4 linked regions of the Drosophila melanogaster genome follow. The protein of the gene in region 1 interacts with the protein of each later gene in a pairwise test. Each region holds a gene or a part of one and is shown in the gene's direction. Other genes may lie near its edges. The genes, in order: CG11379, CG31415, Syx6 and CG15083.

The links.
Region 2: the proteins of CG11379 (region 1) and CG31415 interact in a two-hybrid assay, tested with the Drosophila melanogaster proteins (one large-scale study listed by BioGRID).
Region 3: the proteins of CG11379 (region 1) and Syx6 interact in a two-hybrid assay, tested with the Drosophila melanogaster proteins (one large-scale study listed by BioGRID).
Region 4: the proteins of CG11379 (region 1) and CG15083 interact in a two-hybrid assay, tested with the Drosophila melanogaster proteins (one large-scale study listed by BioGRID).

Annotation. Positions count from the first base shown.
Region 1 is NC_004354.4:1,178,140-1,182,055, forward strand, and holds CG11379 (uncharacterized protein), read left to right. Parts: upstream 1-2,025; 5' UTR 2,026-2,124; coding exon 2,125-2,730; 3' UTR 2,731-3,412; downstream 3,413-3,916.
Region 2 is NT_033777.3:9,741,900-9,745,177, forward strand, and holds CG31415 (uncharacterized protein), read left to right. Parts: upstream 1-1,617; 5' UTR 1,618-1,660; coding exon of another isoform or gene 1,661-1,768; intron 1,769-1,832; coding exon of another isoform or gene 1,833-1,963; intron 1,964-2,012; coding exon of another isoform or gene 2,013-2,115; intron 2,116-2,170; 5' UTR 2,171-2,176; coding exon 2,177-2,650; 3' UTR 2,651-2,763; downstream 2,764-3,278. Other genes in the region: Pnn (pinin), read left to right, coding at 1-69, 301-320; CG34409 (uncharacterized protein), read right to left, coding at 1,154-1,530, 1,661-1,768, 1,833-1,963, 2,013-2,115, 2,782-3,278.
Region 3 is NT_033778.4:11,218,022-11,222,850, forward strand, and holds Syx6 (syntaxin 6), read left to right. Parts: upstream 1-1,912; 5' UTR 1,913-2,302; coding exon of another isoform or gene 2,303-2,337; 5' UTR 2,338-2,359; coding exon 2,360-2,600; intron 2,601-2,906; coding exon 2,907-3,608; intron 3,609-3,762; coding exon 3,763-3,839; 3' UTR 3,840-4,317; downstream 4,318-4,829. Other genes in the region: CG9084 (uncharacterized protein), read right to left, coding at 1-142, 185-361, 1,062-1,146.
Region 4 is NT_033778.4:18,833,542-18,837,394, forward strand, and holds CG15083 (uncharacterized protein), read left to right. Parts: upstream 1-1,721; 5' UTR 1,722-1,850; coding exon 1,851-1,971; intron 1,972-2,738; coding exon 2,739-2,806; intron 2,807-2,874; coding exon 2,875-3,037; intron 3,038-3,113; coding exon 3,114-3,214; 3' UTR 3,215-3,301; downstream 3,302-3,853. Other genes in the region: CG15098 (uncharacterized protein), read right to left, coding at 110-243, 424-577, 770-855, 935-1,121; CG15099 (uncharacterized protein), read right to left, coding at 3,806-3,853.

The DNA of each region.
Region 1 (3,916 bases):
TGGTAGCGCGTTGTTTGCTAGGTGAGTCAAATGCATATATTATGCGAACAGTGTTGGTCCCACACCAGACCAGTGTTGAATAACTGATTTTCTTCGTATTTACAAATTTCTATTTACCCACATGTTCCACACCTCTCAGTGTTGCCGAATCATAGTGCTGATCCCAGAAAATTGTTGTGAAGGAAGCACAAAAGGGTCATTTAATCGCAATGTGGTGGCAACATGTGCCCCAATTCTGGAAACATTTTTGAGGCTACCTAGAGAACCTCGAGAGCATCCCCATTCCTCCCTAACGGATTTGTACAGGTGGTTGGGTGGTTGGTTGCATTAAAAATGCATTGGCCAACTCGTTTATTGTTGCTCCTTGGCAGAGCTTTGGTTTACTTTTATTTAGACGAGCTATTCGCTGGGAGAGCCTGATGATGCAAGCTGCAGCTGCAAGGATTCCACTCCATTTTGGGAGACACACACTTTTCATTAGCTCAAAGGAAGAAGCATGGATCGGAGCTCAGCTCAGGTGGAGAAGGTAAAGCCCTTAAAGTTAAGCGCATGGGAGCGGAACAAAAGTTGCCTTAAAGTCGTTGCCAGTCAATAATGACAGAGGATCCCAGAGGATAGGATGCCGTTTGGAAATGGTAAAGCGGATGCGGACGGGGATTCGAATCGGTGCTGAAGCTTCGGCCACGCCCACTCCGTGTCCGTGGGCGTGGCAGATGAATGAGAGGAGCACAGCCCCCCGAAACCCCGAAAAGAAAAGCAGAAGCAAAAGCAGCTGCAGATTTTCTATAAAAGCCGAGGCTAACGAGATTTGATGAATTGCAAGTCTTTGTGAATGAAGCTACAAGAAAGCTGCAGCATGAATAGCCCCGAGGCACCGCCAGGCCGCCTCCCACTCCTTGCGCTTTTCCATCTAACCCAGGTCCACATAAAAAAAACCCATTAAGTGGTTTAAAGCAGTGAAAAAGCGCACAGCACACAACAAGCAACACAGCAAAAGAAAAATGCAGTTGACATGAAAGCCAGCCAAAACGGGGCGATACAGGGATACAGGGATGGGGGTGGTAGGTCGGTAGGTAGATTGGTAGGTGGTGGAGTCAGACAGATGAACAGTACAGAACAGCACAGCACAGCACAGAGGAGCGGAGCAACAATGCTCACCCAGAGATGAGATAAGAACAGCCGCTGGAGGAGGACAAAGCAGCTTGACGAATTACTTGGCAGCTGCTCCTAGTGAAATCCCTGGGAGAATCAAGGAGCAGCGGGCGGGGCGGGGGCGAGCTGTGCGGGAAAGGACGAGGCGCAAGAAATTTAATTTGACCAACATTTTGATGTATCAAGTTCAGTTGAAGCCGAAGATTTATGACTTGCTGACAGAGCAAGCGGAGCAGCATCACCAGGATTGGGACGTCATGTCGGCAGAGAACAGTGCGGAGCAAGTGCATGCAAGAAATTTTATTCCATGCCAACCAGCCTAATCATTTTATAAATCATCTTGGTTTACCAGACGTACATATATATTATTGTACATATAAAGATCTGGAAGAGCTTATCTATGAGTTTCTCCATGATCATGCTCAAGCTTTAAAGTCCAAAAGTTGGAGCCGCAAAGCTTTGGCCGAAACAAAAATGAAAGTAAGCTGACTACTATCGAGCACATTTCCCATTTCCACTTGCCTCACGTAATGAGCCCACTGAAAATGAGGAAAACAAGGCCTTGACATCTGAGCCTGTTTGACTTGTGGTGATAATTGCAATTGGCGCGGTGTCTGTGACTTCAACTGTGACGCAGACAGTGACTGTGATTACACAAAGAGGAAACCTATGCCATTACCGATGGGGTATTCTGCCACGCAAGAATGCTGTATAAATCATAATATATAAATTATAAATTGAAAAGATAACATCGAATATATTAAATATTGCCTTTAAAAACTTTAACAGAGTTTACAACTTGCTTTTTGTATCACTTCTTAAAATAACAAGGAATACTTGTACACAAGTGTTCGGAGTTAACCAAGTAGTGACTGCTGCTTTAAAAGTCAGTTGAATAATTCAGTTTAAGGCTTTCTGACCCGAATTTACTCCCGTAAAACTGGAAGTGTACACCTAGGAGGACATCTGGAGATGGCTCGACTAATGGCCTTGATCATGGCGGTGTTGCTTCACTCGGTACTGGGCATCTCGTACTACTACTACTTTCGCGAATCTCCCGGCTCCGCTGCTCCTCTCTTGGGCGCCTGGCTCTTTTCCGCCTGCGTGGTGACCCTTCTTCACGGGGTGAGGATGTTTTCAAGTGCCCTGCCCGCCGATCAGCGGTTCAGGAATGGGAATCGAAACCTTCGCGGCAATGAGTCGTCCTGGGCATCGCTCTTACTGGAGACAGGCGTCTGCTGTTTGGTGCTGGATCTGACCCTTAGCAAACTGTGGCATCGCATAGAGTCCCTCTGCCAGTGCGCCATTGTGGGCATACTCCAGGCCTTGGCCGTCGAGGAGCAAACCTTCCTGGTCTGCGAGTACTGGACTTTGGGCCTGACTACCGGCCTGATCGGCGCATGTCTTCTGTGGCTTTCCCTATGGGCCACCGCGTTGCCCCAGAAGCTCCGCTGCGGGATGCTCGACTGGCGTCGCACCCTTCATCGCCGCTGCTCCGCGCTGATCTTCGGAAGTCTCGAGCCCGGCACTCCAATGCAGACCCAATCCCAGGGAAGCGCACAGAGCTTTGCCAATTGAGACGGAGGGGTGACCATTCCACTTCCACAGCCATATCACACTACCTCAGTCAATAGCTAAATTTATGGTTCAAATTATACTAAAAGCGTTTTAATAGGCACAGTGGGACACAACGGGCTGCATCATAAATTGAATTATGAATAACCATAATAGTAAATTTCGATTCAAAGCGTAGTTTCTTTTAGCTTCTTTAAGAAAAAAATAAACTCAAAAATCGAACATATATTAAATCGCAAGACCACTTTCTGACCGAATCCATGAAGCCAATTTGAAGCGGACAACTACCGGCCAAACTGCCAACCACTGGGGGCTGTCATCCCCCCGAAAAAGACTTGTAAACTCGTTAGCCGTAGCCGTACCCATATGCAATGCGGAAGAGGACCGATCCGAGATCCAAAAGCGACACGCCCCCAAACAACCGATTCGGTTTCGGTTTCGGATTCGGAAGACGGAACCCAGCGGCTCAAAGTAAAGCAAAGCAAGTCGATCGAAAGCGAAAACGAAACCATTACTCTGATGCGCGATCGATGGCTGTAAACTTGAACTTGAAGCGTAGCCAAAAGCGATGGACACCACGACGGCAAACAGCAACTGGCAACTAGCAAATAGCAACTGGCAACTAGCAACTTGCAACTTGCAACTAGCGACATGCAAGAGCCTGGCACACGCAACAATGCCGCTGAAATGCTTCCAAGGCAGTGCCAGCCAAATGCTGTTGCTTGCTGGCGCGCTGTCGTGTTTCGCACTGGTTAAAACTGCAGCCGCAGCCTGTTGCCAATTGCGGGAAATTGGTCGGGTCGTCGAGCGATATAAAAGCCTGGCTGGCAATGCAGCCGTGTTAATCAAAGCGCGTCGCTCGCCAGGAAAAGTGCAAGTGTTTTCCACGCTCCCAGGCAGCATTCAAACTCAAATCGCAGAGAAAATTCAGCGAGGTGAAATACGCATACTTTTTTTTTCTGTGCTTATAATAAAATCGAAAGGTGTTCCAAAATATCTGACCTTCGTGTTGCAGAATTAACTAAGCTGCTATAGCAGATATAGTTCAGTTACAAGTGCAGCTTACGATACAATTTTTCCATTTCGGATGCACTTCGCGTCCTGAAAATCAGCTTCGGGTATAAGCAGCAAAATGTTATTTTATAATATCCTTTGGGTTAACAAGTAAAATATATTATCGCAAATATTT
Region 2 (3,278 bases), on another chromosome or scaffold:
TGGAAGACGATACTGCAATAGACGAAAGTTTCTATGAAGAGCCTGACGACGAAGAGCAGTTGGATAAGTGTAAGTAAACTTCAGTTTGCACTAGGGCTTGAAATATGATCGTGCGGATATCGCTGTGTAGGGCAATTGGGTTTCAATTTATAAAACTTATTTATGAAACTTTAATTTATAATACAAAAACCAGATCTTAAGCAAATAAATTACAATGCGGTGATTACATTTAAAAGTTATATCGTATTTATCAACTCAAATACCTTTGTTTCAATGTTCTACTTCCTGTTTTTATTGCAGCTTTATTATACGTTAAGTAAAGTACCCAAAAGTAAATGATGCTATTCTAGGAATAAAGGATTACAACTAATGCAATTTAACAAATTATTTGCAAAAGCAATTGTTTTACTTCACCGAATGAAGGGGTGTTTAAGAACATCAATTTGTGGACAAAACCAGTTATTCTTTATTGCCATTATTTATGTCCTACTAGAAATAAAACTTGGAAAAAAAAAATTGTTTACTGCAAGCAAGCTATATTTGTATCTTTCAAAAGAATTTGTAAAATTGTAAATAAAACTAAAAAATATTTTACACGCAAGATATTGGATCGCGAAATAGGAACATTAAATACCTAATTATGTATTTATAGATATAATCATCCTGAAGCTAAATCACATATTTTATTCTCGCTTCCAAATTGTTTGAGGAAGTAACTAATTTAAAATGAGGCGTTAAAACAATTATAATTCTTTAAGCGATAAGTTAAGAACTCTTATAAGATAATTATACCTTCTTCGCCGTCTATTAACATTATTAATTAAGACCAGTAGTCAGAAGCAATTAATGAAAAAATAATATGTTAACCTCTGATTCTTGTACTGTATTCGTGTAAAAAAAGAACATTGTTTTTCTGAAAATAAAATGAGAGCATTGACATCCGCCATATACAGTAGAAAAATACAAATTTGATGAATACGATTGTTATACACGTACATTTTATTGAAATTTAGGTGATTTGAAGTGGAACCGAATTTTTGTATTTATCCGTAGAATGTATGAATCATTGTTCTTTACGTCGATGTATTCTGAAGACTTTGGCATTGGAAGCTTTGGATGTAATTTGCTAGGGATGGGTTCCCAACACGACCGCTCACTGGTCAGATCCTTCGGCGATGCTTCGCAGTATCCAATCGGAGAAGCTACTCACCAGGGTGTAGACCCCCGGAATGGTGGTCACGCCGCACAGCGTCGGTCCAAAGGCCACGATGCCGATGATCGTATAACGTCCACTTGTTCCAAAGACGCCGGAGGTACCGTCGTCCATAAAGGGGCCGCCACTATCGCCTCGGCACACGTCATTCATGGGCATTCCCTGGGCGCACAGGTGGTTGGGAGTAATCACAATAGGCTGCTGGAAGTTCTCACTGAGACTGGCATAGGCGATGGCGCAACTGGTGGTGTTCACGATGGGCAAACGGATGAAGCGCACCCCAGCGGTGGAGTTTGAGGGGTCCATCGAACTATTATCTGGATAAAATTTGTAGTAGAGAATGTTATATACATTTAAAACCTAATATGCACTGAATTATATTTCGATCGCATTGATAGTAAGTTAAAAAATGTAACAGATCAGATATAAAGTTGTTTCGAGACTAACTTTCAGTACTCCCAATACTCCAACCAGCAGCCACTCCAATTTGTCCTATCAGCCTGTTTCCCAGTGTGATTGGCCCGTTGAAGGGTAAGCATATGGGTGTGAAAGTGCCTGCAAGGTTGGTGGTGGTTATTCAGCGTAATCATTGACCTAGGATAGGAGTATAATCTCTTACCATTAGTGCTGTTGATTCGTAGGAGGGCAATGTCATTTGCATACTTGGGCTGGTCGTAGTTCGGATGAACTATAACCTGCTCGATGGCAAACGGAGTCGCCCCATCCTGACTTCCCAATCGAACATGGGACCTACGAAAGAGCGTGGATTACAAAAGATTTAATTAGGCTTTAGACTTACAGTTCCAAATCGCTGACTAGGTTGACCACACAGTGGGCGGCAGTTACGATGTGGTTGCTGGATATCAGGGATCCGGAGCAGCGAAAGCTAATGCGGCTGCTGCCTGAAAATATTATCGTAAAACTTCTGTAAGAATAAAGATTTTTTCTTGTTTTCAGCTCAACATGTGCGCTTGCCCTTGTTCAGGAAGAAGTCTACCACCTCAGAGCAACAACCCTGATTCTTGCCCAGCTCCTGGCTCACGGGGCGGTCCAGGTGCTGGTGGAGGTGCCCCTGGTGCCGGTGGAGGCGGCCCAGGTGGTCGTGGAGGGGGCCCGCCCCAAAAGCGTGGAACGTGTGGCCCCAAACCTTGCGGCGGACAGCAGTGCAATAAATGCGGTAAGGGAGGCCCTGGAGGAAGAGGTGGCCCTGGAGGAAAAGGTGGTGGCCCTGGAGGAAGAAATGGCCCTGGAGGTAGTGGTGGTCCCGGAGGCAGAAATGCTCCCAATGGCGGTGGTGGAGGCGGAGGAGGACCTTTTGGGCTGAGTGCCCCACCAAACAATCGCGGACCCAAGGCTCTGGGACTGGCTGCTCTGCTCTTTGCCGTCGGCGTCTACCTTACATTAAAAATGGTTATTGTGGCCAGTGAAATTGGATGAGCGCAGACAGGACGGCATTGGGCCCGGCTCAGATCTCCAATGCGGAGTAAGTTTAAGAGCATTTAAGAGGCGTTGCGTTGGGTAAAATAAATTCGAAATTGCGTATTTAGCCTAACATAAGATGTACTTACTTCGGTTGCGATAAGCGATCCTTGTCAGCCAGGGAAACTGTCCGGCACTAGCCTGATCTCCTCCCAGCAGTCGGCTCTCTACATTTATCCCACATCCTTGGGTGTTCTCCTGTGCGAAAGGTGGCATCGATGCGGTTGTTGTGGATAAAGAAGCAGGAATTGTTTCAATTGGTGTAGCTAATGTTGTGGTAAACGGCGCCAGGGGCGGACCTTGATCTATGTTGGAGTCAATTGCCTCCTCTCCCTGCCGCTGGAAGCGTAGGTCCCCGGGAAATACTATGGGCTTATCCTTTGGCACGGGTCGCAGTAATGTATCCCGTTCTTCGTGCTCCACATGATACAGAAAGTGGTGTCCCAAGGCGAACCGTCGGTCGAAGAACTCTGGTTCCACGGGCTGGGGACAATTGCGTTGTTCCTCGAAGTTCCAGTAGTCATGCAGATTGGTCTCCGCTTCCAGATAATCCCCGTGTGTGTGGGAGTGCCGGCTGCCCTTGTCA
Region 3 (4,829 bases), on another chromosome or scaffold:
AAGGGTCGACCAGCTCCCCAAAGTAGTCGATTTTTTTCTGTGGAACTCTCGTTGGCCGCGAAAATGGCATCACCCAGTGGAGATCGCACCACATATCGATTCTCCGAGGAGACGCCTGTTAGGGCTGCAAAGGGAAGACGAACTATTAGAAGCGATTTTAGCTAATTTTTGGGCTTGTACTTACCATCGTTAAGCTCAAAGGTCTGTTCAATATGTACGGACGGCAGATCTGCTAGGCAATCGTATCCGGAAAGTGGGATAAGCGTCCGGCTTCCCGTAACCGTGGCAATTGGCACTGGCAGCGGGATGCGTGGAGCCTCCGGCCTGGGTTGTGAGGTAATGCTGATATGGGAGTCATAAACTGAAGAAAAACAAACAAATCGTATATAGACCATTTTCCAATACGAGCAGAATCGTAAGGTTGTCCATATTGTTATCTTTGAACTAAGATTTTATAAACCTTTTCCATATCTTTAGGGTATTACAAACTTTTCCATAGATTGAATTTTGAAAGTTTTTAATATTTTAATTAAATTTAAATTTCATTTAAAGTTGTAGTTTTAAGATCATAATTTTACAGTGAATTTGAATTAAATAAAAATGGTTGTTGAACATTCTGCTAATAATAGCTCTGAGTAATAGCAATATTATTGAAAATATTTTGTGGTTATAACAAATCGTTTAGATTAAAACTTTAGTAGTTTTTCGATTTTTTCATAATCTTGTCACATAAATATTTTATTACTTTTCTTGGAATAGGAAAATGTTGGTATAGGATACAGCTAATATCATGGGTACGGTTTTACTATCGGATTGATCGCTGGGTTCGATCGTCCCAAACAAAGGCACTTGAGGAGTCGCAGACCATAACAAAACGCTGGCCGATAAGATATAGCCAACTTGTGGCCGCATTTTTGCGTCGAACTGTGTGACACACTCGCTCGCAACAATAATTAATCCGGTGCACTGCTTATCAGTTGGTAACAATTCGGTTACCCTTTTGCCAGGGTGATTCACTCGCTGTTTTTATTCGTTTTCTAAAGCCATATGCCCTAAATTACCTCTCGGTTCTGAGAGACTTGGCTGCTGGGCCACACGGATCTCACTGTCGTATTGCAAAGTGCGCACCGCGTTGTTTTGCAACATTTCGCCAGCACTTTTCAAACTTATTTGACGGCGGTCTAAATGAAATTGATAACGGTGGTCAGTGGGGCAGTAGCACAACGGAAGTTAAGTGCTTTGTGCCCCTCGCCTGGTCACACTTCCTGACTCAGATGATTTTAATACTCTATTACGAACGTTCTCATGTGAAATAGTAATAATAGCTTATTTATAGTGCTATTTTGTAAACTTTAATTCATGCGAATGTTGCAGGTTTTCAAAATATTCGTTTATGCTGCTCAAGCTGAATGTGGATAAATATATATTCAAATCCAGAGCTGCCACCTGATTCAAACTGTTTAGTAACGTATTTTCTGCACTTGCGATATATACTAAATTATCGCGGGATAAACGTGCTATCGCACTTGGGTCATACTAAGCCTTACGGTTTATTTTGCTAGCAGCAAAACAGAAATAAAACCTTTACTTAAATTTATTTATCAGAATTTGTCTCGTGTGAACTTGAAATTAAAGTCCGTCACCGTGTTCTCGGACCGAAGTTTGCTAAATGACGTGGAGACGAGCAGCAGGTGAGCGAGCGATGAAAATTGCAACAGTGCTGGCCATTTGGCCGACGATTTGTTGTTGTGGAATTTTTTGGCCAAAATTCGGGTTGTTTTCAAATCGGTTAGTCAAGGGGTTGGTAATCAAGGAACCAAAGTGCGCAGCCGCTGGAGCGGGAGCGGCGTAAACAAATGCCAGTGGGGTAGTGGTTCTCGGTGGGGGCTTAATCTCTGGAGCGCAAATAGCGACAGTGTTCTCTGGGCCATCGGTGGAACCAGCTAAGTCGGCGGAATCCACAAGAAATCGAGCGATAAGCGGCGGAGCGGGTCCAAGTGCAATAATCAATAAACGTGCTGTTCAAACATCGCTGCTAGGCGAAAGATAAAACCCAGTCGATTGTGAAATTCCTGCTATATAGAACGGATTGAAAGCAAAAATTTGCTCCCCATTTGCTTGCCTTTTGATGTAACTCCCACGAAGTGCTTTTGCTATTGCCAACTTGCAATTTGCCCCCTTGTACCTTTGGGGGGTGGTTTTCGCCCGGAAAAATCCATGAAAAGAACCGTCAAGTGCGCCACGCTGGTGAAAAACTGCTAGGAGTGTTAGTTTTCGTTTTGTGGCAAGAAGAGAACGCGGCATGTCTCTGGAGGATCCGTTTTTCGTGGTCAAGGAGTAGGTGTCCCCGATTTGGCAGATGGCCACATGCACTGCTGGTGGAAAGTGCTATCTTACTTATATCTCTGTTTTTTCTTTCATTTCCCTCCCCTTCCCCAACAGCGAGGTATTCAAAGCTCTGAACAAAACCCGCGGCCTCTATCTGCGTTGGCGGGAGCTGGGCGAGAACGGCGGAACGGAGGCTGAATGGACCACCACCGAGCTGCGTAACTCGCTACGGAGCATCGAGTGGGATCTCGAGGACCTCGAGGACACTATCAATATCCTTTTGCAAAGACCATTGAAAAATCAATTCGTTACCTGGTACTCATTTATCGAATTGCATTGTCTGTTTTATTTTCGCATAAAGAGGTTGAGATCCCATTTAAAATTGCTGAATATGCAATTTATTCGTGATTTAATTCGCTCGTTTATTAGTATTATACTAATAAACTGTACAGAACTTGTTTTTTTGGCACTATAATTGTAAAAAAAGAGTACTTGGTATCTTAAGGTCGGTAGAACCGACTTTCTAGCTCATCAGTCTCCTCGGTTTTCTCCTTAACCCATACCATTTTGACTCACACGCATCGTTGAGAAGAATCCAAGCAAGTTTCGGATCGACAACCGCGAACTCTCCAGCCGGCGCCACTTCATCGACAACACTCGCGATGAGGTCAAGCAGATGAAGGATAAGATGAGCCTGAACCGGAGCCGGGACAGAGACATCACCGCACACCAGCCGCTGCTCGACAACGATCGCCACAGCCCCAATCACAATCATTCCATTGCCATACCCAATTCGAATTCCAACTCCAACGAGTACCATCAGCATCCACACAACGATCGCACGTACCTCGTGGAGTGTCCCAACGGCAACTCGCTGATCAATAGCGGCAGTCAGGTGGCCAATACCATAGCTGGGACCATGTCGGCGGCAGCGGCAGCAGCATCCCGCCACAGCGGCACCAAGTACTCCAAGCTGGAGAACGCCCTGGACAGTCCCAGTCACTATGGGCAGACGCATCACGGCGGCATGGACAGTCCGAGTCATAGGTACGTGGGCGAAACAGTGTCCATACAGCAGCGTATGATCCAGGGACAGGATGAGCAGCTAGACATGATCAGCGATTCGATTGGTACCCTCAAGACGGTCTCGCGGCAAATTGGCGTTGAGCTCGATGAGCAGGCCGTCATGCTAGACGACTTTGGGAACGAGTTCGATACCACGGAGTCCAAGTTGGATACGACCATGAAGAAAGTTGCCAAAGTCTTGCACATGAATAATGGTGAGTGGTGCGGCACTTGTGGTATTCAAGGACTATTTTGATTGAAATATTAATGAAGAGTAAATGCTTCAGTGAACCACAATCAAAATTACCCATTGAATACTTTTGTGACTTCTGATTCCTAATTCTTAACTGTATCCATCTTCTTTCACAGATAAACGACAGTGGGCCGCCATTCTCATCCTATCCGGACTGTTATTGTTTGTGATAATTTTGTTTATTATTTTGTAATTGCTTTCGTTGTTCCCAAATCGTTTATATTTAGTGTAAATTAGATTTATTTATGACTTAGCTTGCTTTTGAATTCGGGCTCTTAATTACAATTCCATGTAAACTCCCTTGCTGTATATACACGGAAACATTTTAACCTGATTTATTACCAGCCGCCTCTCTCTATATATATATAATGTAATTCCAAAGCTACGGACAAATGATCATGTAAAGTCAATGTAGGCGGGTAATAAAAGATAACTAACTACTTACATATAAACCAAGTGCTCCAGAGTTCTGTCATTCCCAATTTGGCCAAAGGATACTGCAACTGTAAGCTGTATATACATCGAAGGATATATCTGCATATATATACATACAAACAAAATGGACCTACCAATATCAAACGAGTTATTTAACGAAGAGTCTTAGGAAATTTCACTAACCAAATCTAGCAAAAACTTGTATGCAATTGAGTAAATATATATACTTATAAATTAAATTCCTAATTTAAAGCCAAATGAGGTACTTCTTACGGGTCACCTAGAAATACTGTATGAGTGCACAGAGAGAAATTGTATACATATACAAAAATTTGTTCGCTATTTTGAAAGCCTAAATTAAACAAAAATTGGAAATACAAGCTTTCAAATTTTTTAATGTTTTTAAGGATAGTAGGATTAGTCAAGATGTTATCTTCTGATAGATCAATGATTTGGAAAATGGTATTTAATACCAAATTTTTCTCTGTGCACAAGGAGAGGGTATCAGGCCCCTTCTCATGTTCTCTCTGCGCCCCAAAACCACTCGACAGCCCACTCGATTTGCCCACTCACTCAGCTGTGTTGCATGCTTTTGCCCGGAGCTTTTTGGCGAGCTTACAGTCTGCGCACAGTGGCGCAACCAAAGGGGTATCTTCGAAAGGCTTGAAACATAACCCCTACGGGGAATCCGGACTACGCCACTGGGTCACAGCATAAGCACACGGGCAGAGCGGCACGTTTCCATGTG
Region 4 (3,853 bases), on another chromosome or scaffold:
GTGCTACTAGCTAGAAAAATATTGGGTTTATCGGGGAAGCCCCATTGGAAACATTCGAAAAGGGATATGATGAAATAAGAGCTGGCCAAACGGGAAGCTACACTGGAGCTTAAATCTTGGTGTAGCTGGGATAGGAGTTGGTCTGCTGGGTCGGCTGTGGGATCAGCGGGCGCTGGATCTCACGGGATGCCTGGATCTGCTTGAAGAGCGAGTAGATGCCGTAGTAGAGATACCAGGTCAGCACTGAAAACGAGCGAATGGAGAAAAATAAGCATCGTGCCCAAGCGCAATTATAGAACGATCGCAGACCGTCGAGCGATAAGCGCAATGGGGATCCACAATTTCGCAACAACGGCCAGTGTGTATTGTGTATACCCATTTCCAGATAGAGCTTATGTATGTATGAAGTGGTGAGTCACTTACAGAGCAGGCCAACATCCACGAAAATGATTGGAAGAGCGCTCAGGAAAGATGTATTTCCGATGATCTGGGCCAGCATTGCAATATTGGTGATAATTCCAAAGACAAGCAGCACTCCATTGTTGATCAGCCAGGGCAGCAGGAGTAAATGGCGTTCCTGAAAGGCAAACGCTATTAGAACCATCTCTATCTCTAGTTAGTATGGTGTATGTACATATGTATTTGCAAAGAAACTTGCCGGTTTTTTTTACAGAATAGTGGGCTTTTAAAAAGGTCTAACTCTAGATATGTACTATAGTAGACACATATATACGCGATTGTACAGATTGCATATTGATACTAGACTTACCTTAACGGTACCTGCAACCAACATGGCCGAAGCCAGAAGATTAATCACCTTGAGCGCCAGGTAAACACTGAAAACGATGATTAGCACTGCAATAACCGCAAGAACAATGAAATACAATAAAAAATATACGATTGGTTGTGGGTGCACTCGATGGTTAGCCCTTACCACTGCGAATCTCGGTGGCCGTCTTGTTAGAATCTTCCGATCCCTTGGCGATCTGCTGCGCAATTTCATCGACGAATCCGAGGGCCAAGGACAAGAGGATCGTGGCCAAGAAGGATAGAATCACGCCCAGCCATCCAATGACCACACCATAGGTGTTCAGGCGCATACAGAAGACCCTGGACAGCATTCTGGATTCACTTGATTTCGTGCTAATGCGAAGATAAAGACAATTTTACTTCAGTTCGCCGGCGCAGCAAAATTGCAATTGCTTGATAAGTCGCAATTGGCTGACAATTAAAAGCTTTTGGGTACAGCGGCGTTGCCAGACTGGTTCAAGCAGTTGGTGTCGAAACTGTGACTTGTTCACCAGCTTTTAATGTGACTTTTTAACGCTAATTGTTTAAAATTCTTTTAATAACATTTTTATATTTTAAATATTTTTATGCATTTATTATTTGGCATGATAGTTAAAAAATATTTATTTATGTATTCATTAACACTGCACAGCAGCGGCTTACTTTCATAATATTTTTCAAGGTGCTAATAGTAGCTACATTACATATATAATACAGCATTAAATCTCTCTATTATTTTAAAGACAATTCCCCATTTTATTCATTTCACTCTTAAATGACGAAACATATGCAAACAAATTCATATAGTAAATGAGTGCACATATATTTTTTAAGAACATATCAGACGTAGTTTTTCCACGCTCGAAAAAAAAGTATTTTCGTGTTGCATAGTTTACGCAACCGTTTCTTCTGAGCGGCATCGGCATTTGCGCCACACTTATTATTTGATTCTTGCCCAGTGCGGTTGTGTTTCCGTGCGCTAGGTGTTCCCAAACCGGTTTAAGTGCCATACTAGCCATATTTGTATTTGGAAAATTCGCTGTAAACCACAGAGTTTCAAAATGAAAATCGATCTGACGGTGGAAAATGGCCCGTGCAATACCGATTTGCGGAGCTGGTGCCTGGGAATCGCGATCTATTGGCTATTGAGCATGACTTTCAACGTTATATTCGCTCCAAACGGTAGGAGAAATGCGAGAGGCGTGGCATTTGTTTATTTTCAGAAGCTGATTGCCCAGACTGACGCTATTTCCATAGAGAGACAATACATTCATGATGTTCACATGCGAAATAAACGAATGAGCTAATCCATTCGACACAAACGCGTTCCAATTCACAACCATTTTGGATACAACACCTCACCATCGATGACGACATCGCCGACAAATTCGAGCTGACAATTCATTTTAGGTGGCCCGAAATGCCATTTTCTCACAGGCTTGAATTTTCCAGCACAAAAAAGAAAATTAAATAATTTCCTTGGGCTGTGCATGGCGCAGAATTAAACTTAAAAGATTATTGGGTTTTAACAGTTGAACGCCATATGTCATAAAAACACTTAAAGCCCTGCATTTGTCCATGTCTCAAAGAAGTTCTATAAACCTTATTCTAAGCTGTTTTAAAAAGTTTGTCATATTTCATGTATGAAATGTGTTTAAAATATAAAAGAAGAATTTATGTTTTAGTTCTTTATGTATATGTACACATGTACATGAAGTGCATCAGTGCATCAATATGTACTCATTATATACGAAGATACATTTAGCAGTCGTGTTCTCAAATTTCAGACGGGAAGAAAGATAAGAGCACAGCAACGTTTTGCTTGGAATACATTGAGTCACTTATAAGCCCAAGTTTATGTTTACTTTCCACTAATTGTAACGGCTTTTTTTATGAATGAAATATGTACGTTCAATAATTTCTATTTAAATTCACTTGAATCCTTGCAGTTCTTACCTTTATTGGATTTGCCATCGTAGTAGTCGCCAATATTTGCTTATTGATAGGAACCCTGAAGGTAAATAAAATACAACCCATTCCGTTTTATTGAGTCAACGAAACCCAATCTACCTTTCCGAATTGCAGGAAAAGCCAATTCTGGTGTTCGTCTGGCTGATCTTCGCTGCCATTGAAGCCATCTCCTTTCCGTTTGCCGTCTTCGGGGTTATCTTCCACTACGGAGGATATCGCGAGGCTACCGGAATGAACAACGTTTTCGGTGCCCTGCTCGTTTACATCATCACATTTCGTAAGTATCGGCTATGAACATCAAATTGAGTTAACAAAAATGTACAGATCATACATATTCTCCGCTACACTTTCAGTATTGATCCTCTTCAGCGCACGAATTGTGTACTCCTTCTACCTCCAGCTGAAAAACAGCGAAGCCAGCAAACAAACACCGCGCGCCATGAATGTGGTTTAGTCCTTATCATTCTACACTACATAAATTGTCGGGGAAGAGCCCACCGTTCGTTCATCTCAGTGTTTGCAATAAAATGCTTTGTTTTTTATTTGATTGCAGTTTGTCGTTAACGCACATCTCTTACTCACATCGACTTGGGATCAACTATCAACAGTTAAATACATTGGTTACATACATATACATACAGGGTGCTATTGGCTATTGGGCTACCGCGTTCTTAAACATTCAACATTTAAAACGATCGATCACACTACGGACAATTATATACTCTCGACACAGTTCTCTATCTATATAGCTAGCTATCATACTCGGCATCGTCTTCTGCTCCAATCTGCTTACTTAGACATAAAATGGAAAGTTGGTCATCTTATTGTTGCTGCTGTTATTGATGTTTTGCGACTGCGTAAAGCTCGTCTCGGCATTTTGGGTAGTTAGCTTAGCCTGCACGGCCGCCAGTATTCGCACAGCCTGGCCAGTACTGCCCGACTCCATGGCAGACTCCATACCTAGGTTCAGGTTCAGCTTGAGCTCGAAGTGTGACCCACTCGCTTGGATCTGCGACTGCGTCTGCCGTTGGGCAACAGCCGGTTTTCATCTCGGCGTGGTTATGCTGGGCAGCTTTTCCAGAAAATCATTGGC